Elephas maximus indicus: one gene and its partner. The protein of the gene in region 2 interacts with the protein of the main gene of each other region in a biochemical or structural test. Links are inferred from orthologs where the notes say so. Each region holds a gene or a part of one and is shown on either strand. Other genes may lie near its edges.

What was found.
Region 1: the proteins of plasma kallikrein-like (region 2) and KNG1 form a complex in vitro, tested with the Homo sapiens proteins (4 studies listed by BioGRID). The link is inferred for Elephas maximus indicus from reciprocal best matches to the Homo sapiens genes KLKB1 and KNG1.

Annotation. Positions count from the first base shown.
Region 1 is NC_064819.1:28,297,114-28,312,849, forward strand, and holds the start of KNG1 (kininogen-1), read right to left. Parts: upstream 6,467-15,736; 5' UTR 6,274-6,466; coding exon 6,079-6,273; intron 3,954-6,078; coding exon 3,843-3,953; intron 2,841-3,842; coding exon 2,759-2,840; intron 1-2,758. Other genes in the region: HRG (histidine-rich glycoprotein), read right to left, coding at 12,149-12,955, 14,805-14,906. UniProt on the Homo sapiens protein: Kininogens are inhibitors of thiol proteases.
Region 2 is NC_064840.1:80,125,899-80,141,553, forward strand, and holds the start of plasma kallikrein-like, read right to left. Parts: upstream 7,333-15,655; coding exon 7,256-7,332; intron 5,397-7,255; coding exon 5,290-5,396; intron 3,972-5,289; coding exon 3,812-3,971; intron 3,355-3,811; coding exon 3,245-3,354; intron 1-3,244. UniProt on the Homo sapiens protein: Participates in the surface-dependent activation of blood coagulation. Activates, in a reciprocal reaction, coagulation factor XII/F12 after binding to negatively charged surfaces.

The DNA of each region.
Region 1 (15,736 bases), on a different chromosome or scaffold from region 2:
GAGAGGTCACTTCAAGATAACTCGGTAATAGCTGCAAAGGCAGGGGCAGAGAGTGAGATGAGGGAACCTTTTCCTGAGAGGAAGATGGCTGAGCTAAGAAGAATGAACGGGGGTGAACCAGGCAAAAAGAGGTGGGAAGCTGTGGGGAGAAGGAATGGAAGACTCCCCGTGGGATGCGTGTCTACATGTGAGCCACATGTTACCAGCCCAAGAAGTGTGAGGCACAGGGGTGTAATCTGAGGCCTGATTCTACTTTTGAGCCTGAACCTCCCTCTAGGCCAGGGGTTGCTAACTATATTCCAAGTGCCATGGACTCTCTGGCGAATCTGATAAAAGCTATGGGCCCCTCCACAGCCAAATGCATGTTATGAATTGAACCGTATCCCCCAAAAATATGTATTGTAAATTCTACTATGCCTGTGGTTATAATCACATTTGGGAATGAGTTTTCTTTGTTATGTTAATGGGGCAGTATTAGTGGACCCCGTAAAACCATACCCATTGCCATCGAGTTGATTCCGACTCATAGAGACCCTATATGACAGAGTAGAACTGCCCCACAGGGTTTCCAATGAGTGCCTGGTGGAGTCGAACTGTTTCCTTTTGGTTAGTAGCTGTAGCACTTAACCACTACGCCACTAGGGTTTCTAGTATTAGTGTAGGATGTGTTTTAAATCGATCTCTTTTGAGGTATAAAAGAGCAGATTAAGCAAGCAGCTAAAAAGTGAAGGTGGAGGGAGAGAGATTCCATGCCACATGAAGATCACCAAAGAGCCAAGGAACAAGGGACTTTCCCCAGGGCTGACAGAGAGAGAACTTTCCCTAGACTTGGAGCCCTGAATTTGGACTCATAGCCCCTAAATTGTGAGAAAATAAATTTCCGTTTGTTAAAGCCACCCACTTGTGGTATTTCTGCTACAGCAGCACTAGGTTACTAAGACAATGTATATGCTCAGAACATTTTCCATACAGTTTCAGGGTATTCACAGACCCTCTGAAGTGAATGAAGAATGGTCTGCTCTAAGAACGGGGAGCCAGTGAAGGGTTTTTAATGACAATTAAGCTATGAAGCAGAAGTTTGTACTAAATTACCAAGCGATGTGGATAACGAATAGCCCCCAACATGGCGGCCAATGGAGGCAAATGCTACAGTACAGAAAGGGAAAAGTGGCTGAAGCATGAGTGCTATACATGAATCCCCGCCTACGAGTCCTAGGCTTCTACACCCAGCAGGCCCACAGCCATGTGCTGACTGCAAATGTATGTCAAGAAAAAAATTACTGGGTAAATATGTATAGCTTTGTTCCCTTTCCTTTTTGTAGAAAGTCATGTGGAATCAGGGTAACAAGCGATGTTAAAAATCTGGAGGGCAATTGTACTGGAAAGATAATTATTTTTTATCTAGAAGCTTTTATTAGAAGATGAACAGGGGTAAGAGAAGAGACGGAGGCACCTTTGCTGCGTAGAAGGCTTTGAGGGTGAGAGGAGTAGAGAAAGATATTAAACCCCATTTTGGGGGGGGGGGATGACAGAATCATTTTCCAATATACAGCAACAATTCTGGAGGTTTTTCTAAAATTCAAATAGAGATTTCAATTCCTTGTGATTTCTTTTCTATTCTGGAGTGTTTTACACTGAATGTGACTTCTTGCAGGAATGGAACCCCAAGGCAAAGGAGATATTCTGGGTTGCTTATGGATGACAAAGACCATAGACCTGCCACGAGGGTGATGTTCAGTTGTGAAGCCTGAAGATGCTATTCTACAGGCCTCATGCACTAAAACACTACCTTTCAGGGGGCCAATTGCAGGAAGGCTTGTTCAATTGATACCCCCAGCTCTGCCCCTTCCTCTGTACCTGGCACTTCTGCCACATGAGGGAGGAGCTAACAGTGGTTGTATTTGTTGATCCATTGCTCCGTAATTATATCCTTAAGGAATTTCGTTTATTGAGAGTCCACTCTTCCAGCTACTTACTAGCTATGGAATCCTGGGCAAATTACTTAACTGCTCTGGGCCTCAGCTTCCTCGCCTGTAAAATGGGCTGATAGTTACACCTACTTCATAGAGTTGTTGTGAGGATTAAGTAAGTTAACACGTGTAAAGTGCTTAAAACTGTGCCTGGAATGTAAGCCCCCAATCCATGTTAGCTAGTCTGGTTTTTATGATTAATACAATATTATGGTTGCTAGGTTTGGGTTTTTTTTGGGTTTAGATATTGCACCTGTCTTATAGGGTGGCTATGAGTTGGAATCCACTCAGCCACAATGGGTTTAGGCATTGCACCTTCTGGCGTATCGCCCTGTTTCAGTCTCACAAAAATCCTGTGAAGCGGGAATTACCGTTATCCACCTTCTACAGAGGAGGAAAAGGAAAGCTGAAGGAATTTGAGAGGCCTGACCTCAAAGCCTGTGATTTTCTCGCTGTAGGGTGCTGCCCAGCATTGAGGGCGGGTCTTGTCTTCTTGTCTTTGTGCGAGGTACCTAACACAGCGCCTCACAGGAAGAAGAGCGTCGGAAAATAGTGCTGAGGGGATGACCGGCGTGAGCCTGGCCCCGACCTCAAGACTCTGCGTGCTCCTCCAGCGCCCTCTCCCGGTCCCCCTCACCCAGACGCTGCAGCTGTCTCGCTACTGCCGCCCTCCAGCAGGGGGCGCAGGCCTGGCCTAGGTTGTCCCTGGCACACCAAAAACGTTAAACCAAAAACAGAAATGGTGGATTCTCCCCCGTGGCAGCGCTGCCACCGTAGGTATCAGCTACCTGGAGTAATCTGGCAGGTCTGGGTAGCAACGATGAATTTTGTATCTTTCCCCTTCACTGTCGCTGTGCATTCCCCTGTGGCCTAAAAAGAAAGAAGAGACAGAGTGAGTACTTATCTTAATCTTTTGGGCCGAGAAGTCTACCTAACCTGTTGCCAACAAGTTGATTCCAACTCACAGAGATCCCATAGGACAGGATAGAACTGCCCCATAGGGTTTCCAAGGCTGTAATCTTTCCGGGAGCAGACTGCCACATCCTTCTCCCGCAGAGCTGCTGGTGGATTAGAACCACGACCTACCGGTTAGCGGCCGAGCACTTTAGCCACTGCTCCACCAGAGTACGAAGTCTACCTAACAAAAAAAACTTGTTGCCATCCAGTCGATTCTGACTCATAGCGACTCGATAGGACAGAGTAGAATTGCTCCATACGGTTTCCAAGGAACTGCTGATAGATTCAAACTGCCTACCTTTTGGCTAGCAGCCCAGCTCTTAACCACTGCGCCACCAGGGCTCTAGGATCTGCACTAAGGCCTGTGCAAGTTGGAGCACCCACCCTTTCCCCTTTCCAGCCTTTGAGCTCAGCATAAGTGTCAATCTCTCATCTCTCCGGGGTGGGGTCCATATGTCCTGCTTGGTCATCAGAGCCCGCTTCTCACGGGAGTGGAGTCCCTGGGTGGTGCAAATGGTCAAGCACTCAACTACTAACTGAAAGGTTACAGGTTCAAGTCCACTCAGAGACGCCTTAGAAGACAGGCTTGGTGATCTGCTTCTGAAAGGTCGCAGACTTGAAAACCCTATGGAGCAGTTCTACTCAGAATCAACTGGACAGTAAGTGGTTTGGTTTTTGGTTTTCTCATGGGAGAGCTTCTTTCTCCATGTTTAACTGGTGGCCGGCCTCCCGTCCCTTTCTGTCTATGCGAGAACATAGACATCAAGCATTTGACTTTTCTACAATCTGAGTGTTTATGTGGATTCCCCATAAGCGGGCTTAGAACCATAATTTAATCATCCCCTGCACAAGTACACAAGCCTGGCAAGCTCAGAAAACACGGGAGGTGTGGTAACCATCCCCGAATGAACTTACAGCTTCCGAAGCTTCTTTGTAGTCACAGTCTTGCCAGGTTTTGCCACTTTGAACAGGACAATCACCCTCCTTGATTTCGTACTTGAAGGAATAAAATGTGCCAGAGCTTTCCTGAAAAAAAAAAACGCAACCAAACATATCTTTGTTCATCCCACCAACCCAACAGCATGTAATCGGAGTGGGATCTGGTGTTGTTATGAATATTTGATCTTGATTTGATTCAGTGATGTCAGGTGAAGGGTACTGAAAGTTATAAATATTTACTTGGGAAAAAATATTCACAATATATTGGCAAATATGTTTTTTAAAGTTTACAAAGCAGTAACCACAGTATTAGCTCACTTTTTTAAAAGCCAACTTATATATTCATAGATAAAAAAAAGCTGTTGCCTTGAAGTTGCTCCCGACTCATAGCGACTCCATGGGACAGAGTAGAACTACCCCATAGGGTTTCCAAGAAGCGCTTGGTGGATTCAAACTGCCAAACTTTTGGTTAGCAGGCCTTCCATATACACATATGTCTACAAAGGTCTGAAAGGGTATGTATGCAGCAAGCTGTTAGGAGTTTGTCTCTTGGTGGTAGGATTACAGTAGGCTTTTACTTTCTTCTTTAAATAAACCTTCCTGCATTGTCTGACTGCTTTTTAACAAACATGTTACTTTTTTCCCCTCTTATTTTAACTTTATTTATTATTCAAACATATCTTACTTTTGGAAACCCTGGTGGCGTAGTGGTTAAGTGCTATGGCTGCTAACCAAAAGGTCAGCAGTTCCAATCTACCAGGCACTCCTTGGAAACTCTATGGGGGCAGTTCTACTCTGTCCTGTAGGGATGCTATGAGTGGGAATTGACTTGACAGCAGTGAGTCTATTTTGCAGGGGGGGGGTTATCTTTTATGATTAGGCAAATAAAAGAGGTCTTTATTCATTTCTGAAAAAAAAAGAAAGTGAACAGTTATCTCTGGATGATGGGGTTAAGGAATTTTAATAAATGCATTTGCTTTCCTCCCCCCCCCCCCGCCCCAGGTCATAAGGTAATAAATGAGAGTTTTCAAGTGCTAAAAAAAAAAAAAAAAAACTCTTTTTATTTTTTTTATTGTGCTGATTCAGGTGAGCTTTCAGGTATAAGGTCCTAGCATGTCCCAGCAGCAAGGGACCTGAGAGGTGATGTTGTCCAGCCCCTCATTTTGCAGATGAGAGAAGGGAGGGCCCAGATAATGGAGTCAAACAAGAGAATCTTGAGAATTCCTTCCAGGTCTTATAAAGCTTATAAAGTCTTATAAAGTTCATTCGTGTCTTATAAAGCAGTAAGTGGTATGGTATAGGCTGTGCCCACAGGGGGAAGTAAGAATAAAGAAGTGGTTTTATGGATGTTTGAGAACAAAAAACCACATTTGCCACAAATTATCAGCAAATGGAGACAAAACCAACAAACTGTCATGTGAGCACCCCGGGAAGGCTGGAGGGTCATTTTAGTCGTATCTAGAGCTTCGGAACTTGGCACTCCCCATGTGAGTATGTCAGATTGTGAAACACAATAGCACAACTTTACCTTCAGAAAAAAAAAAAAATTAAAAATATCCACTGTGGCTTTTTTCTTTAGCCTCTTGATGTGAAATGGTTGGAATTTTTTTCCCCCACTGAAGTAACCAATGGCTTTACTATTCCAGACACATAACACTTTACAGTGAAATTCATTGAAACAAATCCTGGGAAGCTTTGTGTTTCTTTGTATCATGCATCCTGCTGGGATCATTGCAACGGCATCATTGCAGTGCTAAAAATTATTAAAAACCAACTAAACACTGCTGTTAACTGGATGCATTCAACCATGTTATTCTCACTTACGTCTTCTCTTAGATTCTTAGGAACCCCCTCCCCCCTGAGGTGTGGAGGACTTTATTTATTTCTTACCCAGGCAGTGGATACTCTTGCTATAGCCCACCTGAGTTCCTGGATCTTCCATTCTGCTTAGTCCTTTTAATTCCGTTTACATTTGTTTCATTTCACCTGAGCAAACTTCCTCTCTGATCATCTGGGTAGCCAGTGTTAGTGGTCCCAGGACTAGTCATACGCTGCCTTCCTAGACCAGAGAGTTTGGCTTTTTCCAAGGTGTAAGCGTCTGCCTTTGCTTATCAGGTCTTGGGGGTAGGCAACTGGGGGAAAGCAAAAGACCTGGACTTGGTGGGACAGCACAAATCCCAAATGACCTCAAGGTCAAACACAGCTCACTCACCGTCTTGATGACCTGGGTTATACGGTACAATACAAACTGGTTGCCGCTTTGGTTTTGACCGTTATATTTCTTCAGTGCAGCATTCACAGCCTTAAAAACTTCCTCGTTGTTACAGTCAATGTCCGTTGAGAAGGGTTCCTGGGTCAAACTTGGGAGCAGCCTGGAGCAGAGGAAGAGGATGGCGATTAGTTTCATGATTTAACAGTCTTCCCTCTAGCTGTTGAAGGGTGGTTTCACCAAGAGTGTCTCCGGTCCCTTATTGCCTCTGCCCTCTCCTCTCTGCCTCAGCGCTCTGTGGGCCTGCTTGAATTCCCACTACCATGCACTGTTTTGCCCTATTCCAGAAGGGCAAATAGCACTGCTGGGTTATCCAAACAGGTTTCTAACTGGAACATTTCAACACTGGGGTTGTTGCCCTGCTTGTTTGCATTTTAAAAGCATGGGGGTTGTAGGAGGGGGGTACAGAGCACCTGTCCATGTGATTACACAACATGCTTTATCGAGCAAATCGGAGCAGCACCTAAAAAGGAAGAGGAAAGAACCATCAACTAGCTCAGTTATTTCCTTGTGACTCTCCCAAAGGCATTTAAAAAGGGCCCTGCATATAACAACAATGCACCACTGCAGAAACACCTCTCACAGTAGAATTTCTTTGCAGGCTATTTGCATAGAAACAGGCTACTAACAATCAGATTGCATGCCTGGGGAAGCCCATGCTCAGAGGAATAAAGTGAACACTGAGAGTCCCAAAGCAAGACATTGGCACAACTGAAAATAAATTATGGGCATCCTGGGAGCCCTGGTGGGGCAGTGGTTAAGAGATTGGTTGCTAACCAAAAGGTTGGCAGTTCGAATCTACCTGCCACTCCTTGGAAACTCTATGGGGGCAGTTGTACTCTGTCTTATAGGGTCTCAGTGAGGTGGAATTGACTTGACTACAACAGGTTTGGATCTGGTCTCTGGTTCATTCAGCCTCTTTCCACTTGGCTTGTTAGTCTGTAAAGGAAAGCACTCTCCAGGGTGAACGAGGCAGAGGAGAAGCCTAAGCACAGATAGAGGTCTTGCGTGAAGCCCTGAAGCCCCTATCTTTGCTTCTTGCCTCTGTTTAGGTGAATATGGGTGTCTTTCCCTCACTAGGCCTAAGCAACCTTTTTGATAAAGTTGGACTATCCAGGGAGAGGAAAATCCTGGTGGCATAGTAGTTAAGAGCTACAGCTGCTAACAAAAAAAATGTCAGCAGTTTGAATCCACCAGACACTCCTTGGTAACACTATGGGGCAGTTCTACTCTGTCTTATAGGGTCACTATGAGTCGAAACCAACTTGATGGCAATGGATTCAGGGAGAGGAGGTCTGTGGATAGTTTAAAGAGTTGGGTTATCGCTTAGTAGGGCTTTCTTACTGAAAAAAAAAAAAAGGTGACTTCTTTGTTGTTGTTGGCAGGATTTCTAGCTTGGAGATTCAGTCTCCCTGACAGCCTCTGGAAAACAGAGGTCGGTGTAGGCTGAGTGGTGGCCTTGAAACAGTGGCAGGAACATGAGCTTGGCAGTAAATCCAATCTGGATTCCAATCTAACTCTGCTTCTTAATTGTTATGCAACCCTGATTTTCTAAGCCTTAGTTTCCTCATCTGTAAAATGTGGAAAGTAATACCTATATTACTTTTTTTTTTTTGAGGGGTAGATGAGGTAATATATGTACCAAAGCCAAACCAAACCTGTTGCTATCGCGTGGATTCCAACTCAGAGCGAACCTATAGGACAGAGTAGAACTGCCCCTGTAGGGTTTCCAAGGAGTGCCTGATGGATTCGAACTGCAGCCCTTTTGGTTAGCAGCCTGAGCAATTAACCTATGTACAGGGATTGGTAATTAGTTTTTACAGATTATACTTACTATTAGAGTAGAAAAGGAGCCTTGGTGGTACAGTGGTTAAAATAGTCACCTGCTAGCCAAAAGGTCAGTGGTTCGAACCCACCAGCCGCTTTGCAGAATATGTGGTGGTTTGCTTCAATAAAGATTATGGTCTGGGAAACCCTATGGGGCGGTTCTATGCTGTCCTTTATGGTCGGTATGAGTCAAAATTGACTCGATGGCAACGGGTTTTATTAGAGCGGGATAGTTAAGAATCTCTGTCTTATTGAAGCAGTTTCAGGCAGGGCTTAGAACCGGTTTGTTCCGGTTCGAACTCCTGCTGAGAATTTACATTTCCATAGATATACTGAATCAGAATCTACATTTCAACAAGATCCCCAGGTGATTCTTACGTCTAATAAATTTTGAGAACCACTGCTCATCTGGGAGTTTGTTAGAAATGCAGATTCTCAGCAGGGGTTCAAACCAGAAGGAACCAGTTCGAAGCCCTGGTTTCAGGTACATGGTGATGGTAGAAGGTGCATTCTAATGGAGAGATGTAGGGAAAAAAAATTAAGGGTGAAAGTAACTTAGGTAAGTTCTTAGGCTGAGAGGAAAGGCGAACCAACAGAGATGGAGAAACTGAAGCTTGGGGAGTGAAGAAATGACTGATGTGGCTTAGTCCAGGAGGAGTTGGAAGTCAAGGCTCCACATGGCGGGTGTTTCAAATAAAGACTAGAAAACAGGACTTGGCAGTATTCACAGGCAGTATAATAAAGAGGGAAGAATGTGGGCCTTGAAGGAGGGTTGATCAGGGTTCTAATCCCAGTACCATAATTTACTAACTATAAGGCCCTCTTTGGGTCTAATCATTCTCTAAAATATGGTGATTGTGGTAGTGGCTGGCTAGGTATTCATCAAACTCATTTTTCTTTCCTCCTTGGCATACAGCTAGACTTCATTTCTCATCCTTCCTTGCGTTAGGCGTGGCCATGTGACTGAGTTTTAGCCAGTGAAATGTGAGCATACCTTTTGTATCCCATTTCCAAGTCTAGCCCATAAAAACCACCCATGTGCTGCTCTACTCTTTCCCTATGTGTGCTAGAAAAAGAGGATCCAGGAGAAAACACTGAGGCCTACCAGAAGGGCAAAGCCACAAGATGAAAGGAGCCTGAGACCCTGAATCACCATGTGGATGGCCATCTGTAAATAACCCACACTGAACAGTTACATGAGAGAGCAATCAAATCCTGTGTTGTTAAGCCACTGTGCTTGTTACAGTAGCTGGCCTACTCATACAATGATATTACCTGTCTAAGTGAGTTGTTGTAAGGATTAAATTACTTAACATATTGTTGTCCAATTAGGGTCCGTGCCCTGGAGCAGTCGAGCCAATGAAACGTACTCCAAGTCAGAAAGCGAGAGAAAATTTATTTAGAAGGTGACACCAAAGGAAAGTTCTGCAGCACGGCAGACTGTCTTTATGGAGTCCCAAAAGGCAATTTCACGTTAGAGCTTGTATATAGCTATTGCAAGGGTTACGAAGTGTCTTTTGGCAGGTAGCCCACAGAAGGCCCAGCCCGATGAGTTATTCATTACAAGGTAATTACAAGAGACTTTTTATCGGATAAAGAGATACATGCTGGACATCTCCTTATCAGGCTAAAGATACACATGCCAGACACCTGGGCTCTAATCTTCACGTAGGGGTGTAAGTCATAAGTGGCCAAACAGAACAAAACAAAGTCATTAACAAAAGTATGCGGAAAGGAGAAGGCAGGCAGAAAAAAACTTAAAGGTTCATCATGGTGTTAGTTACGTCAAGCTCTCAGTCGCTCATTTGAAAAGGTGAAAACCTATTGTGGAGTATTAGGGTCACAATATGAAAATCTCCTGACTGACATGCTTGCTATATACACTGACTGAACAGATATTTCTAGAGCACCTAGTATGTTATAGGCACTGTAGTGAACAAAACCAAGTCCTGGCAGTCATAGATTTTACTGGTGATAAAGCAAAGGGAAGAATCAAGAAAGATTTCTTGTCTATCAGTCTCAAAAAATGATAGCACACTGGCGGAAAGGGTGATGTTGGGAAGCAGAAGAAGAAATTTTCTGGAGTAGTTTCTGGAGCCTGAGGCATTTGGGCTTTAGACATTTGAGAAGGTAGTCATACTATCTTGACCCTGTTAACATCGCCTTTGGAAGTTGATGGAATGCATTTTTATAAACAAACATTCATATACTCTTTAGCCGTCATGACACAGAAAATCTAGAAAAGCAGCAGTCCTTGGTGTTATTATCTAAAACCTTTAGCAGTATGTAAGCTCCCCAAAGCTCCCCAAGGGTAAGGACTGTTTCTTACCCCTGCTTTTCCCCTGAAGCAACTGTGTTTGTATATTACAAATGCATTTATTTGAAATGAATTGAGAGTCTTCCACTTTTATGTTTTCTAGGTAATATTTTCATCAACTTAAGCAATGTTTGTTAAAGTACTTTACAAATGATAAGACATTACTCAAATACTTCTGAGGGAGGATAATACTTTGAATTATTAACCTGTGTGTTTTTTTGACCTCCTTGGACCTTTTTTTTTGGACCTGGATTTTACCTTTCTCTACTCCCCATTCAGTCAGTCAACCCTACATTTATGCCTCCATGGAGGGATGTGTTTCTGCAGGGTCAACATTCAGCTGGTGCCACCAGTATGGCCACACTGTTTGTTCATGGCTGGCGACTGTTCTGATTGGCTGTTAACATCTGGTCTGATCGTTCAGTGCTTGTGTCATATTGATTTTTAAATATTTTGAGTGTCACCACTCTGGCTGGAAGGTAGGGCTGACCTGACATCATATTGGCCTGTTTCTAAATGCTCAAGCTTGGGTTTGGAAAGAAGGGAAAAGAAAGCACCTTAGAGTGTGGATAAAGTGTTCTCCAACCCCAAAGTGAATACAGAAGGACTTAGCTGAGACTAGAGCCCTGGTGGCAGAGTGGTTAAGAGCTTGGCTGCTAACCAAAAGGGCAGCAGTTCGAATCTACCAGTGGCTCCTTGGAAACCCTATGGGGCAGTTCTACTCTGCCCTATAGGGTCACTATGGGTCGGAATCAACTTGATGTCAGTGGGTTCTGTTTGTTTGTTTATCTGAGACTAGAGGGGGTAGTGAGAGAGTACCTAGCTTAGGGAGAAGAGATGAGTAGAGCATAAGGGCCCGGGGGTTCCTGAAGCAGAGGCCTTTCTGAGCGTGCAGTCTGGAAGGTAACCAGATCCCAGAAAGAGAATAGTCGTATGGTATATTGGCAGTCATGCCCATTAGCAGTCCCACAGAGTCTCCTATCTCCCCAGTTTGATACAGACGTGGCAGATAAACTAGACCCAAAGAGTGATGGGAACAGGGTGGTGGGTATCCCTCAGCAGGGAAGACCTGGTGGACAAATGACCAAGAATCAGACATCCTTCCCATGTCCATCACCAAACACCTTGCCAATATGTGAGATTCTGGAACTGTGTTGCAACCTTTTGTGGGGAGTGACAGGGTGGGGGACTCCAAAAATGCCTGGGATTAAGTTTTCCATTAACCCAGCAGGATGGCAAGCTGAAATAGAAATTAATTTGTTCTGAAGAAAAAGCGAAATTTCTTGTGCACCTGAATTTATGGTCATGATTCATGCCTGCATCAGTGTTTGAATGTAGGGTTGGCTGACTGAACGGGAAGTAGAGAAAGGTAAAACCCAGGTCCAGGGAGGCCAAAAATTACATTTCATAATTGGGTTGATAACTTATTTTTTCAAAGGAAAATTAGATGGCAAGAAATAAACAGTGGAAGACAATTTGAGTAACATTTGTAAGAATAATGCTTTACGTGATACATAACTTCTTGGTATGCCCAACTATAGTCATAAGCAGTAACACAGATAAAAACCCTAGAATTAAGGAGTTAAGTCCAAGAAAGAAAGAAATTCTGAGGACTGGAGATTTGCCTGGAATGATGTAGTAGTCAGTGACAGGATGAACTATTGACTTGTAGTCCTGAGATCTTTCATCTCGTTCCTACTTCTCTCTCTCTTTTCCTGCCATTTCCTCCCCCACCTACATTTTACTCTATTCTGAGTATGAAAGTAAGGTTTAAATAACTTGTAATTTTTGCATTTATTATGGGTCATACTTTTATTTATAGTTCAAAGTCGGAACATTATTCATTTCTTCCTTCAAGGAAATCAGATTTTATTTTGGAATTGTATTTTCAAAAAACTGCAGAAGTTGTAGAAACTCATTGTTGAACTTCCCTGGACATGATTCAGAGGCTGACTGAGGGAAGGGCTGAATCTTTGGCTTCAGGGGATTGTTTTGGCTTGGCAATGACTGCTTGGGAAAATTGGCTTCAGGAGGAGAAAGAACTTCACCTTTGTTTAGTGGGGGGAGCCGGTAAACATATCCAACTTGTCTCCAATGGAAGATAAAGGGTCCTTTACCTGGGCCTCTTTCTTTTGGATGCCTAGGTGGCAGGTCATGGCGAGGGTGATCACGGGGACCTTGGTAATAGGGTGGTGGGTCACAGGGTGTGTGGCCATGGAAATTGTCACCATGGGGATGGTGTCCGTGGGGAGGGTGTCCGTGGGGGGGATGTCCGTGGGGAGGGGGTCCGTGGGGAGGGGGTCCGTGGGGGGGGTGTCCATGGGGCGGGGGTCCGTGGGGTGGGTGTCCGTGGGGTGGGGGTCCATGAGGCGGGGGTCCGTGGGGCGGGGGTCCGTGAGGCGGGGGTCCGTGGGGAGGGTGTCCGTGGGGCGGGGGTCCGTGGGGGGGGTGTCCGTGAGGCGGGGGTCCGTGGGGAGGGTGTTCGTGGGGCGGGGGTCCGTGGGGGGGGTGTCCGTGGGGGGGGTGTCCGTGGGGGGGGTGACCGTGGGGTGGGTGTCCGTGGGGGGGGTGTCCGTGGGGAGGGGGTCCGTGGGGATGATCCTCATGGGGATGATGTCCACCAGAGTGGAATGGATGGCCCAAATAGTGTTGTCCACCACTGAAATTTCTATGTTCCTGGTAAAAAAAAAAAAAAAAAAACATGGAAAATGAATATCATCATGTAACACAAAAGGTGAAGTCAGATTTTAGACTAATAGTCCCCACACTTTTGGACTCTAATCAATTTAAAAAGAAGGATACCAACCAACGGCTGTCAAATTTTTGTCTAACCAAGTTGGCATTTAAAATACAAACATAAACTATCATCTACCACCATCATTACTTCACAAAACGAAAAGCATTTTGACAACAAATGGATTTGAAAGACAATCTCAGAATAAAGAATGGTCCTTTAGATGGAATAAATGTTGTATTATGAAAAACTTTGTCATCCTTACTTTTCTCATTTCAATATAAAGTGGTGAAACTATGTTATGGAATGGCACCTATCTGCTAACCAACATCTGGAAACTAATATTTTCCTTTTTTAAAAAATTGTACTTTAGATGACAATTTACAGAGCAAACTAAAAAAAAAAAAAAAAAATTAGCTTCTCATTAAACAATTAATATACATATTGTTTTTTGACATTGGTTGCCAACCCCACGATGTATCAACACTCACCCCTTCTCAACCTTAGGACCCCAAATACCAGCTTTCCTGTCCCCTCCTGCCTATTTGTTTTGCCCCTGGGCTGGTGTGCCCCTTTAGTCTTATTTTGTTTTATGGGCCTGTCTAATCTTTGGATGAAGGCTGAACCTCAGGAGTGGCTTCATTACTGAGCTAAAAGGGTGGCCAGGGACCATACTCTAAGGTTTTCTCCAGTTTCTATCAGACCAGTAAGTCTGGTCTTATTTATTTATTTATTTTGTGAGTTAGAATTTTGTTCTATGTTTTTCTCTAGCTCTGTTTGGGACCCTCTACTGTGATCCCTATCAGAATAGTCAGTGGTGGTAGCCGGCACCATCTAGTTATGCTGGACCCAGTCTGATGGAGGCTGTGGTAGTTGCAGTCCATTAGTTCCTGGACTAATCTTTCCTTTGTATCTTTGGTTTTCTTCAATTTTCTCTTGCTCTGGATGGGGTGAGACCACGGAACTAATACTTTCTAACTTATATTCTCAACAGAGCTCTGGGGCTTTATGCGTAAGCATCCCTTTCCTCTCTTCCTCCCTCCCTTCTTCACTCTCCTCCTTGTTTAGATTTCAATTTTTTAAAAAATATATTGAGCTATGTTCCTGGTAACAGATCTGCCCTTTTTGGGGGAGAGGGGACTTGGCACACAGATGTCTGAATTATTTTTAGTTTTTTTTGCTAATATAAGAAATACCGCAAAGAATGTTTTTTGTGCTCACCCCTAAAACAGGACAAAGCTTTCTGGGACAAATGTAAAATATCATTTTGCATCTTACTTAATATACCTTTATTTAATGCATTTGAAGGTAATTCCTCTTAGGTTAGGTTCCATGCCTAATAATAAAAGCTAACAATTATTAAGACTCAGCAGTGGAAGCCTGACTACAAGGACCATATTCAAATTCATTCAAAGTTGAATGAATTGGTCATGGTTTTATTTTTTGGTCAAAATATCACCCCTTAGCAATTCTTGTAAAATGTTTTTGTAGTTTTTGTGCTCTCCCAGCAACGGCATCCCCTTCCCCAGGGACCTGTTCTCCTTACTCTCTTTTCCCCTCCTTCCCCACATTTGCTAGTTGAACTCCTTCCAGTGAGGTGGCGTTAGGCAAAACCCTTCTCTGCAGCATAGAATAGAGCCACATACATGTTCTCCCTTTCTTTCTCTTTCTCTCTCTCTTATATACACACACACGTACACACACATACCAATCTGTAAGAATCAACTACTCAGTGTGTGAGAAACCTCACTTCGTCTGCTTGTGACGAAGCCCTGTCTGGCAGCAGCCCACCTCAAGACTGAAGACGTCACAATTGGTGACAAGATCTTCTGGGGTTTCCAAGTCAGAGGCTTCTACTTCATATGAAAAATCTGCTCTGCAGAATCCAAAGACCTATAAGGGAGAGAGAAGCCTGTTAGTGAATTTGGGAGTGTAAGTGTGCGTGTGTGTGTGTGAGAGAGAGAATGTGAGTGGCGTGAAGGTGTCAGTTCTAGATATTTGTGAAAGGAAGAAGAGCTTTAGAAAAATCAGACTAATAGTATCAAATATTAAAAGACTTAACCACCTGTCCTAGTCAATACGTTGAGAAAAGTGCAGCTTTCAGACTGTTTTATTAGACATTGCTGTGTTCTCCTCCATGAGCAGTTGCCAGCACTAGGCTTCCCCGTGGACAGTGATGGGGAGCACCGCTCCACTGTTGCCTTGCCTTTGGGCCAACTCAACTCAGCTCTGCCCGGGCCTAGAGAGAATGAGGAACTGTGTAGAAGAGGCAGCTGTACAACTTTGACTGGTCCCTTAGAGAAAAGTGTTGGAAAGGAGGCAGCCAGTGTAAAGATGTGTCTGCATGGACCCTGTCAAGGTATGTGTCTGCTGTGCCACCTCAAGCACACAGGTTGCAACTGGCTGTCATTCCTATGCCCCAAAACCAAAAAAGAAAAGCAAACCCATTGCTGTAGAGTCGATTCCAACTCATAGCAACTCTATAGGACAGAGTAGAGCTGCCCCATACGGTTTCCAAGGAGCGCCTGGTGGATTTGAACTGCTGACCTTTTGGTTAGCAGCCATAGCTCTTAACCACTACACCACCAGGGTTCCTCCTATGCCCCAAAACCCATTGCCATCGAGTCAATTCCAAGTCATAGCGACCCTATAGGACACAGTACAACTGCCCCACAGAGTTTCCAAGGAGTGCCTGGTGGATTCCAATTGCTGACCTTCTGGTT
Region 2 (15,655 bases):
AAAGCAGATGAAAGGAATAAAAACAGTCACTGTACTGAAAGAATTGGCTGACATCCAACCATTTCAGGAGGTAGCATATGATCAAGAGCCAATGGTACTGAAGGAAGTCTAAGCTGCACTGAAAGCATTGGCTAAAAACAAGTCTCCAGGAACTGAAGGAATACCAATTGAGATGTTTCAACAAACAGATGAAGGGCTGGAAGTGCTCACTCATCTATGCCAAGAAATTTGGAAGACAGCTACCTGGCTAACCAACTGAAAGAGATCCACGTTTGTACCCATTCCAAAGAAAGGCGATTCAACAGAATGCAGAAATTATCAAACAATATCATTAATATCACATGCAAGTAAAATTTTGCTGAAGGTTATTCAAAAGCAGTTGTATCAGTACATCACCAGGAGCTGCCAGAAATTCAAGCAGTATTCAGAAGAGGATATGGAATGAGGGATATCATTGCTGATGTCAGATGGATCCTGGCTGAAAGCAGAGAACCAGAAAGGCGTCTACTTGTGCTTATGGACTATGCAAAGGCATTTGACTGTGTGGATCATAAAAAAATTATGGATAAAATTGTGAAGAACAGGAATTTCAGAACACTTAATTGTGCTCATGAGGAAGCTGTACTTAGACCAAGAGACAGTCTTTCCAACAGAACAAGGGGATACTGTGTAGTTCAAAATCAGAAAAGGTGTGTATCAGGGTTATCCTTTCACCATACTTATTCAATCTGTATGCTGAGCAAATAATCCAAGTAGTTGGACTATATGAAGAAGAAAGGAGCATCAGGACCGGTAGAAGACTCAGAAAGAACCTGTGATATGCAGATCACGCAAACTTGCTTGCTGAAAGCAAAGAGGACTTGAAACAGTTACTGACTAAGACAAAAAAACACAGCCTTCAGTATGGATTACACCTCAACACAAAGAAAACAAAAATCCTCACAACTGGACCAATAAGCAACATCATGATAAACAGAGAAAAGATTGGACTTGTCAAGGATTTCATTTTACTTGTATCCACAATCAATACCCATGGAAGCAGCAGTCAAGAAATCAAAGGAGGCATTGCACTGGGCAAATCTGGTGCAAAAGAACTCTTTAAAGTGTTAAAAAGCAAAGATGTCACTTTAAGGACTAAGGTGCACCTGACCTAAGACATTGTGTTTTCAATTGCCTCATATGCATGTGAAAGCTGGACAATGAATAAGGAAGACAGAAAAACAACCGATGCCTTTGAATTATGGTGTTGGCGAAGAATATTGAATATACCATGGACTTCCAAAAGAATGGACACATGTCTTAGAAGTACAGCCAGAATGCACATTAGAAGAGAGGATGGTGAGTCTTTGTTTCGCATACTTTGGACATGTTATTCCGAGGAACCAGTCCCTGGAAAAGGACTTCATGCTTGATACAGTAGAGGGTCAGGGAAAAAGAAGACCCTCAATTAGATGGATTGACTCAGTGGCTGCAACAATGGGCTCAAGCATAGCAACAATTGTGAGGATGGTGCAGGACCAGGCAGTGCTTCATTCTGTTGTACATAGGGTTGCTCTGAGTGGGAACGGACTTCATGGCACCTAACAACAACAACAACATGATAAAAGTTACCACTATTGAGTTGCAAATAGTTTATTTATTTAACTTAACTGGAGAAGTGCGATTCTTCTGAGCACTTTTAAATCCATACAGAAATTTGGGCAAGAAGAGAAGGAAGTTGTAAATATAATTAGTTTGATATATGGGTTAAGACTAGAAGACTTTACATTAAAAAGGGGGAAAGGGTATGAAATTTGTGACCTAAAGACCCAGGTTGAAGTCCTGGCCCGTATGTCCTTGAGCACAACATTTCAACTCTATGAGCCTCATGTTTCTTGTCTATCAAATTACGTCCTTGAAGAAACAGAACAAACTTCTAGTAATGGCTACAAATCACTAACTTGGGAATTTCAAGTGGGCAGGCGGCTCCAGAGGCTTACTATAGGTATAGAATGCCACTGGCTACTAGATGTTCCCTGAGGAATGTTGAAAAGTGACCACTAAAAACAATAACCTTAGCAGGGCACAACATTTCCTGAAATGTCCAGGATTTTTCTCTCTCTGTGAAGGCCTTTTAATTAAAGTAATATGTGAACTCATTGCAATTTAATGAGGAAACCAAGCACAGAACAGGATAATTGTTGACAGAGGACAGAAATTGGCTATATGGGGTGCTTTTTCAGACCATGGATAGCAGTGTAGAATGGCCCGAGGGAGGGGCCTGACCATGCCAGCTCCCTGGAAGAGTGCAACAAATGCCTTCAACAACAGTGCTGTGTAAAGAACAGAAGATTTCTAAATAAAAATCTTCAAGAAGCCTCACAGGGAAAAAAAATAAAAAGGACTATTAGTAGCAATCACTGAATTTGAAGCAATAAATATGGCACACGCTGCGGAGGGAATATACTGAAGGAAGAGACAAATGAGAGGAAAGTTGCCCACTTCCAATCTTCCATAGAATGGCCATAGCCCAAAAGCCAGTATAGGGCTTGGCACAGGGTAAGCACTTGGTAATGCATAGAATTGGCTTTGTTTCAACAACATCTTGTCATTAACACCTCGATATGCTAATTAAAGTAGAATGTCATGGCAACTTTCTGGATTCAAATAAAATTACATACATGTCTGAAATGACAGGGTTTTGATCCACTATGATAGACTCATTTTCTAGATACAGACATCACCAAGAAAAACCTTGTAGTTTCCTGTACGGTAGTAATTTCTTCTTGCTGTAACAAATTTCTGAAAACTTAGTGACTTACAAATTTATTATCTTACAATTCTGCAGGTCATAAGTCCACAGCGGGGTTTGCTGGGATAAAGAAGAGGCTCCAGAGGAGGCCGCTTCCTTGCTTTTCACCTTCTAGAAGCCACCAGTTTCCTTGGCTCGTGCTATTCACCCCGTCTTCAAGCTAGCAGTGTAACGTGTTCAAATCTGTCTCTGGGACTCTTTATCTCATGAGGACCCTGTGAGTACTTCAGACATGCCCAGATAAACCAGGGGTATCCCCCTACCCTCCCATTCTCAAAATCCATAACTTGCAAAACCCCTTTTGTCATGTAAGGTCACATATCCACAGGTTCCGGGAATTAGGTCACAGACATCTTTGGGGTAGGGGGGAGGATGGTGAGGAGGGAGGCGTGTGTGGGGGGTCTTCATTCCGCCCATTACCATTGCATAGTGAAGCAGTAGCCTTACAATTACCTATTTCTGAGCGTGCACAGGGCTTCAGTGAGAATCCAGACACCACATTATCCAGCAGCTTTATACTGGTCGGTGTTCCTCTTGGGCTACTCTTTAATAAGCAATTGTTCCTGAATATGAAGAAAAGGGGTTATTTTGCTTCCTAAACTTCAAGGTGTGCACTGCAGTACAAAATATTTTAGCGTCAGAATTATGAATGGGCAGTGGAAAATAAACAATAATTAACAGTGACCCTGCTAATGAGTAAGCTCGAGATTTGCATTACGAAACAAATAGACATCCTTCCGCTCTGCAGAGGCAAGGTTAAGGTGGGAATGGGAGACCTTATTCTACAAAACCCCGGTAACTCAAAGCCCCTAATTTCACAAGCAGAGCCTATCTGTGGACCAAGTGGACTTAGTCTCTTCAGGAAAAATGACATCAAAACTGAGTAAGTAAATAAGAAGAGTGGTTAGGTATAAAAACCCTGTTTTCGATTTCAACTGAAAAAAAAAGGAAAAGAGGTTATGAAGAATACAATTACATTCTAAAGGCACCTCCAGAAAGAACACTGTGAATTTTACTCACCGGAACTCTGCACTGGGAAATGTTTGTGTGGCATACGTGAAAAAATGGCAGTGAATGTTATTGGTACACCTTTTCTGGCACTCTTCAACACTTCTAACTTTAGACACATTAAAATTGGTTCCTCTCATATCAATTCCTTTATAAGTATCTGGGTGGCAAGCTGCAGGAATAAATGCACAGGGCCAATGTAGTCAGCTTCTTTTCTACAGGTAGGCTGTCAACTCTTCACACGTTTGGGTAAGATGGTTTGAAAGGAGGTTCCTATTTGGCAACTTTCCTTTTATTTGGGTGCCCTAAAATTTTTATTGCTTCCTTTAATTATAAAACCTCGCTTGAAATAAACGTATTCTGACTCCCCCTTCCCTGCCCCACCACCTCTAGAACGCTAGCGTTGACCCTTTAACCGAGTGGAGGAATTTCTTTGTCTTATTTCTCAACATTTTCAGCTACTCCCATCTGATTGCATCCTTGCAATGGTAAGCCCTCTCGTTGACATCCACGTGTCAAATCATTGTCACAAAAGGTGGAGAGTTCTGGTCTACGTGTGATAAAGCCATTTCTATTCCTGCTTTAAAAGTTTGTTAAATTCGATTTAAGCACTCTTTTTATTGAAATGTACCTTATACACAAAACGATGTAGATAATCCTTTTAACAGCAAACCAAGTGAGTGAGTTACATATATATATATTTTTAATTTTACTGAAGACTCAAATTTCTTAGACTTTTGTTTAAGGAAACTAGATAAACAGAACAAAGGATACTGTGTGCAATTTCCCACTTCTGAGAGACAGGACTGATGAACTCATAATGCTCAATCTTAAATCCTTAAGGTGAGAAAGACAGAAAAAACCAACAGGAAAGCAAAATACTGAGGAGGAGGGCAGGGGTGGATTATTCGCAGTGGTTCATGTACATGGAAATTTGAAGACTATGGAAATGAAATACTTTTCCAACTTTGCTGAACGTGGGAAATGAAATAGGTTAATAATTGGCATGAGATATTTACTAATTGCAACTTTTATTCATGGGTAGCTGAAAGCTATAAACTCACCTGATTTTGGACCTGATTGTGAGAGTGTCTTGATTATTAACCAAAACCAAACCAACTGTAGTCAAGTCAATTCCAACTCATAGTGACCCCATAGGACAGAGTAGAACTGCCCCATGGGGTTTCCAAGGAGAAGCTGGTGGATTCGAACTCCTGACCTTTTGGCTAGGAGCTGAGCTCTTAACCACTGTGCCACCAGGGCGCCGTATAAATAATACAGGCTCATTAAGCATGCCTTGCCTGGTGAAGATAAGAGCATGGTCAAGATGAACATGGCTTCCTCTGTTAGGTCCAGAATACTGCCCTGTATCTGTTATTTTTCTGAAGGCACCCTTCCAAGAGTCTGTGACAGTCCAGACTCTGAACAAAAATTACTCTAAGGTAGACCCATTATTAATTCAAATTTAGCGAAAAATTTCCGCAACTTACCACTGATGTAATGTCCACAGTGCTTTAGGGAATGTCCGGAAATTGCCCCAGCCTTTGGCGCCCTTGGAAGGATCCCTGTCGTGCTTTCTTTCAAGAAGCAACCAAACCTGTTTTTAAAATTGGCTTCACTCAGAAGGTAGAAGAACAAACAGGCATCGAGGTAATGGCTAGCATTTTCTATGCACTAATGATAAGGAAAAACCCAGTTTCCTGGATACTTGATAGAAAGTGGATCCTTAGAGGCAACTGCGTAATATCTAAGCGTCACTGTAATGCCTAACAAACTGGGACGTGGATTTTCTTTATAGTCACATTTTTAAGTGCAGAAAACCAACCAGATTGAAAAATTAATGATTTTTCCTTTGCTCCAGAACTTCCAGGAAATTTTGTTGTCACCTGGTGATTATTTTTCTAAATGCTTTAGCCCTTGGCTGCTAACCAAAGGGTCTGCTGTTCAAATCCACCAGCCGCTCCTTGGAAACCCTATGAGGCAGTTCTGCTCTGTCCTATAGAGTCACTATGAGTCGGAATCGACTGGACAGCAACGGTTTTTTTTTTTTTTTCTTTTATTTAAGAAATGAAATTAGTCAGAACAGTTGAGTCTATCTATGGTGCTCATTTTGCTTATTAACTATTCGTAGACTGCACCTAATGGAATGCTTCTTTTGATATTTAATGTCAATTTTAATGTTAAATTCATTATTCACCAGGATTCTAGAACCAAACTCAGCATTTAACACGGTGCCTCTGAGGTAATGTCTGGGTTTTCTGTACAAGTTTAACACACAGGGTCAGGCGATGATTGCGTGATTCCTAGTTCTTAAAGTCAAACAGGGTGAAGATAAAACAAAAGAGCTATAAATGGAAACAACAAAAAATAGTCCATTCTGGATACTGATCAAAATTAAAGATAATTAAAATGAGACTATGGCTGTATCTAGGCATCCTCATGGTCTAATAAACGTTTTAATCACCAACTATTTTTCCAGTGGTCTTACTTTTCCAACCTATAAGTTAACGCATACATATTCGCACACACACACACACACACCCTAGGTCTACCAAGTAGGCCTCCATTCACTGCTGCTGTCTCCCAATGTCACAAGTTCTAGACCTCACCCACCTACATTCTCAACAAAATGCTGTCTTAAGTTCTATTTTCTTAGGACTGTGTTATATACAAATATTCATAGTGGGTGAGACGGTAGTATTTTTCCTCGTTCACATGAAACGTATGCCTGTTATCAGGCCCTTTCCTGAGATCCTTGTGTCCTTGGATAGAAAATAATTACCTTCCACTACTTTTAAGTGAATGCAGCCATTGTTGAAGATGCAGATTTCCAGGCATCAGAGACCTTGGTTCGGTAGGTGGGGCCTATGAATTTGCATATGCAAAAGCCACTTCAGTTGATTCTGACCACACTGTTCCTAGAATCCCGTCTGAGAAATGTAACCCCATGATAAGCTAAATCTTTTTGCACAAGAATGGTTCCATTTTGAAAAGCGATTGGCTTCCTCAATAATGAAATACCAGGGATCACGATAGAAGGTCCCAAACAGAGATGGAGAAAAACGTAGGACAAAATTCTAACTCACAAAAAAAGACCAGACTTACTGGTCTGACAGAGACTGGAAGAAACCTGAGAGTATGGCCCCCAGACACCCTTATAGCTCAGTGCTGAAGTCACTCCTGAGCTTCACCGTTCAGCCAAATATTAGGCCCATAAAACAAGACTCACTGGGGGCACCAGCCCAGGGACAAGGACCAGAAGGCAGGAGGGGACAGGAAAGCTGGTAATGGGGAACCCAAGGTTCTAGAAGGGGAGAGTGTTGACATGTCTTGGGGTTGGCAACCAATGTCACAAAACAATATGTGTATTTGCTGTTTAGTGAGAAACTAATTTGCCCTGTAAACCTTCCCCTAAAGCACAAAGAAAAAAATAATAACGATGAAATACCAACTTACCTTTTGTGTATATCATTAGTTGAACTTGCAGGAAGAAAACTGAAAAATAAACACCTGGGGTGGAAGGTGCATGTCATCTGACAGTGCTGGGCATCTGGGCTATACAAGGAGACCACATCCCCACCTCGGAAGAAGGCATTCTTATACAGCTGAGTCATGCATCCTACGACACAATCATAAAAAAGAATCCAAAATTTTTTAATCCAATAATTTGTAATGGATGCAATTAATAATTTTATCAGAAATGGGTCTGTGTTCTGAATCTTCATCCGCTGAATGTCCAGCACGACGTTAACACTACAGGTAGAATGAAACAGACATCAAGGCAATACTTCAAATAATATTTAATGTAATTGGGTGTTTCTGTCTGAAAAACTTGGCTGATTTTTACTAAATCATATGACAATTTTGCACATAAACTGTCTCCAAGTAAACATAACCTTAGCTTGGCTTCTCCCTGTCAACTAACCATGGAAACATCATGCCTTACATATAATGATGTATGATCTGTTTTTCAAAACTCTTTCATAACAAACATCCCCAATAGATTCTTACAACCACTTCATAAAAGAAGCTAAAACCAAACCCATTGCCACTGAGTTGATTCCAACTCATAGCAACCCCACAGGACAGAACAAGGAGTGGCTGATAGATTTCTTGTTAGCAGCCAAGCTCTTAATCACTATGCCACCAGAGCTCCAAGGAAAGAAAAAGGCAGACTTTATTATCTGCTCTCATTTTTTTTTAAAGAAGTAACTGAGTCTCAAGGTAACCTGCCCAAGATCACACAGCTAACGAATGCCCTGGGACATGGGTCCAGCTCTTCAGACTCCCAATTGCCGTCACTTTTTCTAAGGTGCAGCGCTCATGTTGTTCTTCGTCCGTGGTTTAATTCAAGCAAAGTAATAATTCCGGGTATTTTTCACTTTAGAGATCAGCCCAGTTGTTGCTGTTGTTGTTAGGTGCCGTCGAGTCGGTTCCAACTCATAGCGACCCTATGCACAACAGCACGAAACACTGCCCGGTCCTGAGCCATCCTTACAATCATTGTTATGCTTGAGCTCATTGTTGCAGCCACTGTGTCAATCCACCTTGTTGAGGGTCTTCCTCTTTTCCGCTGACCCTGTACTCTGTCAAGCATGATGTCCTTCTCCAGGGACTGATACCTCCTGACAACATGTAAGACACAGTCTCGCTATCCTTGCTTCTAAGGAGCATCCTGGTTGTACTTCTTCTAAGGAAGATTTGTTCGTTCTTTTGGCAGTCCATGGTATATTCAATATTCTTCGCCGACACCACAATTCAAAGGCGTCAACTCTTCTTTGGTCTTCCTTACTCATTGTCCAGCTTTCACATGCATATGATGTGATTGAAAATACCATGGCGTGGGTCAGGTGCACCTTAGTCTTCAGGGTGACATCTTTGCTCTTCAACACTTTGAAGAGGTCCTTTGCAGCAGATTTGCCCAATGCAATGCGTCTTTTGATTTCTTGACTGCTGCTTCCATGGCTGATGATTGTGGATCCAAGTAAAATGAAATCCTTAACAACTTCAACCTTTTCTCCATTTATCATGATGTTGGTCATTGGTCCAGGTGTGAGGCTTTTTGTTTTCTTTATGTTGAGGTGTAATCCATACTGAAGGCTGTGGTCTTTGATCTTCATCAGTAAGTGCTTCAAGTCCTCTTCACTTTCAGCAAGCAAGGTTGTGTCATCTGCATAACGCAGGTTGTTAATGAGTCTTCCTCCAATCCTGATGCCCCGTTCTTCTTCATACAGTCCAGCTTCTCAGATTCTTTGTTCAGCATACAGATTAAATAGGTATGGTGAAAGAATACAACCCTGACGCACACCTTTCTTGGCTTTACACCAATCAGTATCCCCTTGTTCTGTCCAAACAACTGCCTCTTGATCTATGTAAAGGTTCCTCATGAGCACAATTAAGTGTTCTGGAATTCCCGTTCTTCGCAGCGTTATCCATAGTTCGTTATGATCCACACAGTCAAATGCCTTTGCATAATCAATAAAACACAGGTAAACATCCTTCTGCTATTCTCTGCTTTCAGCCAGGATCCATCTGACATCAGCAATGATATCCCTGGTTCCACGTCCTCTTCTGAAACTGGCCTGAATTTCTGGCAGTTTCCTGTCGATATATTGCTGCAGCCGTTTGTTTGTTTGTTGGTTTTTTAAATAATTTTTATAGCGCTTTAAGTGAAAGTTTACAAATCAAATCAGTCTGTCACATATAAGCTTATATACACCTTACTCCATACTCCCACTTACTCTCCCCCTAAGGAGTCAGCCCTTCCAGTCTCTCCTTTCGTGACGGTTTTGCCAGTTTCTAACCCTCTCTACCCTCCCATTTCTCCTCCAGACAGGAGATGCCAACACAGTCTCAAGTGTCCACCTGATACAAGTAGCTCACTCTTCATCAGCATCTCTCTCCAACACATTGTCCAGTCCCTTCCATGTCTGATGAGTTGTCTTCGGGAATGGTTCCTGTCCTGGGCGAACAGAAGGTTTGGGGACCATGACCGCTGGGATTCTTCTAGTCTCAGTCAGACCATTAAGTATGGTCTTTTTATGAGAATTTGGGGTCTGCATCCCACTGTTCTCCTGCTCCCACAGGGGTTCTCTGCTGTGCTCCCTGTCAGGGCAGTCAGCAGTTGTGGCCGGGCACCATCTAGTTCTTTTGGTCTCAGGACGATGTAAGTCTCTGGTTCATGTGGCCCTTTCTGTCTCTTGGGCTCATAGTTATCGTGTGACCTTGGTGATCTTCATTCTCCTTTGATCCAGGTGGGTTGAGACCAATTGATGCATCTTAGATGACTGCTTGTTAGCATTTAAGACCCCAGAAGCCACACTTCAAAGTGGGGTACAGAATGTTTTCATAATAGAATTATTTTGCCAATTGACTTAGAAGTCCCCTTAAGCCATAGTCCCCAAACCCTCGCCCTTGCTCCTCTGACCTTCAAAGCATTCAGTTTATCCCGGAAACTTCTTTGCTTTTGTTCCAGTCCAGTTGAGCTAACCTTCCATGTATTGAGTATTGTCCTTCCCTTCACCTAAAGTAGTTCTTATCTACTAACTAATCAGTAAATAACCCTCTCCCACCCTCCCCCCCTTCCCCCACATAACCACAAAAGTATGTGTTCTTCTCAGTTTATACTATTTCTCAAGATCTTATAATAGTGGTCTTATACAATATTTGTCCTTTTGCATCTGACTAATTTCACTCAGCATAATGCCTTCCAGGTTCCTCCATGTTCTGAAATGTTTCACAGATTCATCACTGTTCTTTATCGATGCGTAGTATTCTATTGTGTTAATCTACCATAATTTATTTAATCATTCATCTGTTGAGGGACACCTTGGTTGCTTCCAGCTTTTTGCTATTGTAAACAGAGCTGCAATAAACATGGGTGTGCATATATCTGTTCATGTAAAAGCTATTATTTCTCTAGGGTATATTCCGAGGAGTGGGATTTCTGGGTTGTATGGTAGTTCTATTTCTAACTTTTTAAGAAAACGCCAGATAGATTTCCAAAGAGGTGGTACCATTTTACATTCCCACCAGCAGTGTATAAGAGTTCCAATCTCTCCGCAGCCTCTCCAACATTTATTATTTTGTGTTTTTTGGATTAATGCCAGCCTTGTTGGAGTGAGATGGAATCTCATTGTAGTTTTAATTTGCATTTCTCTAATGGCTAAGGATCGAGAGCATTTTCTCATGTATCTGTTAGCTGCCTGAATATCTTCCTTAGTGAAGTGCGTGTTCATATCCTTTGCCCACTTTTTGATTGGGTTGTTTGTCTTCTTGTGGTTGAGTTTTAACAGAATCATATAGATTTTAGAGATCAGGCGCTGGACCGAGATGTCATAGCTGAAAACTTTTTCCCAGTCTGTAGGTGGTCTTTTTACTCTTTTGGTGAATTCTTTAGATGAACATAGGTGTTTGATTTTTAGGAGCTCCCAGTTATCTGGTTTCTCTTCGTCATTTTTGGTAACGTTTTGTATTCTGTTTATGTCTTGTATTAGGGCTTCTAACATTGTCCCTATTTTTTCTTCCATGATCTTTGTCGTTTTAGTCTTTGATCCACTTGGAGTTAGTTTTCGTGCATGGTGTGAGGTATGGGTCCTGTTTCATTTTTTTGCAAATGGATAACTAGTTATGCCAGCACCATTTGTTAAAAAGACTATCTTTTCCCCAATTAACTGACACTGGGCCTTTGTCAAATATCAGCTGCTCGTATGTGGATGGATTTATATCTGGGTTCTCAATTCTGTTCCATTGGTCTATGTGCCTGTTGTTGTACCAGTACCAGGCTGTTTTGACTACTGTGGCTGTATCATAGGTTCTAAAATCAGGTAGAGTGAAGCCTCCCACTTTGTTCTTCTTTTTCAGTAATGCTTTACTTATCCGGGGCTTCTTTCCCTTCCATATGAAGTTGGTGATTTGTTTCTCCATCGCATTAAAAAATCTCATTGGAATTTAGATCGGAAGTGCATTGTATGTATAGATGGCTTTTGGTAGAATAGATATTTTTACTATGCTAAGTCTTCCTATCCATGAGCAAGGTATGTTTTTCCACTTATGTAGGTCCTTTTTAGTTTCTTGCACTAGTACTTTGTAGTTTTCTTTGTATAGGTCTTTTACATCCTTGGTAAGATTTATTCCTAAGTGTTTTATCTTCTTGGGGGCTACTGTGAATGGTACTGATTTGGTGATTTCCTCTTCGATGTTCTTTTTGTTGATGTAGAGGAATCCAGGTGATTTTTGTATGTTTATCTTATAACCTGAGAATCTGCCAAACTCTTCTATTAGTTTTAGTAGTTTTCTGGAGGATTCCTTAGGGTTTTCTGTGTATAACATCATCTCATCTGCAAATAGAGATAATTTTACTTCTTCCTTGCCAATCCAGATGCCCTTTATTTCTTTGTCTAGCCTAATTGCTCTGGCTAGGACCTCTAGCACAATGTTGAATAAGAGCGGTGATAAAGGGCATCCTTGTCTGGTTCCCATTCTCAAGGGAAATGCTTTCAGGCTCTCTCCATTTAGAGTGATGTTGACTGTTGGCTTTGTGTAGATGTCCTTTATTATGTTGAGGAATTTTCCTTCAATTCCTATTTTGCTGAGGGTTTTCACCATGAATGGGTGTTGGACTTTGTCAAATGCCTTTTCTGCATCAATTGATAAGATCATGTGGTTTTTGTCTTATTTATATGGTGGATTACATTAATGGTTTTTCTAATATTAAACCAGCCTTGCATACCTGGTATAAATCCCACTTGGTTGTGTTGGATTATTTTTTTGATATGTTGTTGAATTCTATTGGCTAGGATTTTATTGAGGATTTTTACATCTATGTTCATGAGGGATATAGGTCTGTAATTTTCTTTTTTTGTGGTGTCTTACCTGGTTTTGGTATCAGGGATATGGTGGCTTCATAGAATGAGTTAGGTAGTATTCCGTCATTTTCTATGTTTTGAAATACCTTTAGTAGTAGTGGTGTTAACTCTTCTCTGAAAGTTTGGTAGAACTCTGCAGTGAAGCCGTCCAGGCCAGGGCTTTATTTTTGTTGGGAATTTTTTTATTACCTTTTCAATCTCTTTTTTTGTTTATGGGCCTATTTAGTTGTTCTATTTCTGATTGTGTTAGTTTAGGTAGGTAGTGTTTTTCCAGGTATTCATCCATTTCTTCTAGGTTTGCAAATTTGTTAGAGTACAATTTTTTGTAATAATCTCATATGATTCTTTTAATTTCAGTTGGGTCTGTTGTGATGTGGCCCATCTCATTTCTTATTCGGGTTATTTGTTTCCTTTCCTGTATTTCTTTAGTCAGTCTGGCCAATGGTTTATCAATTTTGTTAATTTTTTCAAAGAACCAGCTTTTGGCTTTGTTAATTCTTTCAATTGTTTTTCTGTTCTCTAATTCATTTAGTTCAGCTCTAATTTTTATTATTTGTTTTCTTCTGGTGCCTGATGGATTCTTTTGTTGCTCACTTTCTATTTGTTCAAGTTGTAGGGACAGTTCTCTGACTCTGGCTCTTTCTTCTTTATGTATGTGTGCATTTATCGATATAAATTGGCCTCTGAGCACTGCTTTTGCTGTGTCCCAGAGGTTTTGATAGGAAGTGTTTTCATTCTCGTTGCATTCTATGAATTTCTTTATTCCCTCCTTAATGTCTTCTATAACCCAGTCTTTTTTCAGCAGGGTATTGTTCAGTTTCCAAGTATTTGATTTCTTTTCCCTGATTTTTCTGTTATTGATTTCACTTTTATGGCCTTATGGTCTGAGAAGATGCTTTATAATATTTCGATGTTTTGGATTCTGCAAAGGTTTTTTTTATGACCTAATCTGTGGTCTATTCTAGGGAATGTTCCACATGTGCTAGAAAAACAGGTTTACTTTGCAGCTGTTGGGTGGAGAGTTCTGTATAAGTCAATGAGGTCAAGTTGGTTGATTGTAGCAATTAGGTCTTCCGTGTCTCCATTGAGCTTCTTACTGGAAGTCCTATCCTTCTCCAAAAGTGGTGTGTTGAAGTCTCCTACTATAATTGTGGAGGTGTCTATCTCACTTTTCAGTTTTGTTAAAGTTTGTTTTATGTATCTTGCACCTTGTCATTGGGTGCATAAATATTTAATATGGTTATATCTTCCTGGTCAATTGTCCCTTTTATCATTATGTAGTGTCCTTCTTTATCCTTTGTGGTGGATTTAACTTTAAAGTCTATTTTGTCAGAAATTAATATTGCTACTCCTGCTCTTTTTTGCTTGTCGTTTGCTTGATATATTTTTTTCCTTCCTTTGAGTTTTAGTTTGTGTCTCTAAGTATAAGGTGTGTCTCTTGTAGGCAGCATATAGATTGATCGTGTTTCTTTATCCAGTCTGAGACTCTCTGTCTCTTTATTGGTGCATTTAGTCCATTTACATTTGGCGTAATTATAGATAAATATGTGTTTAGTGCTGTCATTTTCACGCCTTTTTGTGTGTGTTGTTGACAATTTCATTTTTCCACTTAATTTTTTGTGCTGAGACGCTTTTCTTTGTAAATTGTGCATTCCTTATTTTTATAGTGGTTGAATTTATGTTTGCTGAGTCATTATGTTTTTTTTTGGTTTTTATTTTGAGTTATGGAATTGTTAGACCTCTTTGTGGTTACCTTAATATTTACCCCTATTGTTCTAAGTAAAAACCTAACTTCTATTGTCCTATATCACCTTGTTTTCCTCTCCATATGGCAGTTCTATGTCTCCTGTATTTAGTCCCTCTTTTTGATTATTGTGATCTTTTACATATTGACTTCAATGATTCCCTGTTCTGAGAACTTTTTTCCTTTTAAAAATTAATCTTAATTTGTTTTTGTGATTTCTCTTTTTGAGTTGAATCAGGATGCTCTGTTCTGTGACCTTGTGTTGTGCTGCTGTCTGATGTTATTGATTTTCTGACCAAACAATTTCCTTTAGTATTTCTTGTAGCTTTGGTTTGGTTTTTGCAAATTCTCTAAGCTTGTGTTTATCTGTAAACGTTTTAATTTCGTGTTCATATTTTAGAGAGCGTTTTGCTGGATATATGATCCTTGGCTGGCAGTTTTTCTCCTTCAGTGTTCTGTATATGTCATCCCATTGCCTCCTTGTACTGCATGGTTTCTGCTGAGTAGTCTGAACTTATTCTTATTGATTCTCCTTTGTAGGAGACCTTTCTTTTATCCCTGGCTGCTTTTAAAATTTTCTCTTTATCTTTGGTTTTGGCAAGTTTGTTGATAGTATGTCTTGGTGATTTTTTTTTGGATCAATCCTATATGGGGTTCGATGAGCGTCTTGGATAGATATCCTTTTGTCTTTTATGATGTCAGGGAAGTTTTCTGCCAACAGATCTTCAACTATTCTCTCTGTATTTTCTGTTATCCCTCCCTGTTCTGGAACTCAAATCACACACAAGTTATTCTTCTTGATAGAGTCCCACATAATTCTTAGGGTTTCATCATTTTTTTCAATTCTTTTATCTGATTTTTTTTCCAGCTATATTGGTGTCAATTCCCTTCTCCTCCAGCTCCCCCACTCTGCATTCCAATTGCTCGATTCTGCTCCTCTGGCTTCCTATTGCATTGTCTAATTCTGTAATTTTATTGTTAATCTTTTGGATTTCTGAATGCTATCTCTCTATGGATTCTTGCAGCTTATTAATTTTTCCACTATGTTCTTGAATAATCTTTTTGATTTCTTCAACTGCTTCATCAGCGTGTTCCTTGGCTTTTTCTGTAGATTACCTTATTTCATTTATGAGGTCATCCCTGATGTCTTGAAGCATTCTGTAAATTAGTTTTTAATATTCTGCATCTGGCAATTCCAGGATTGTATCTTCATTTGGGAAAGATTTTGATTCTTTAATTTGGGGA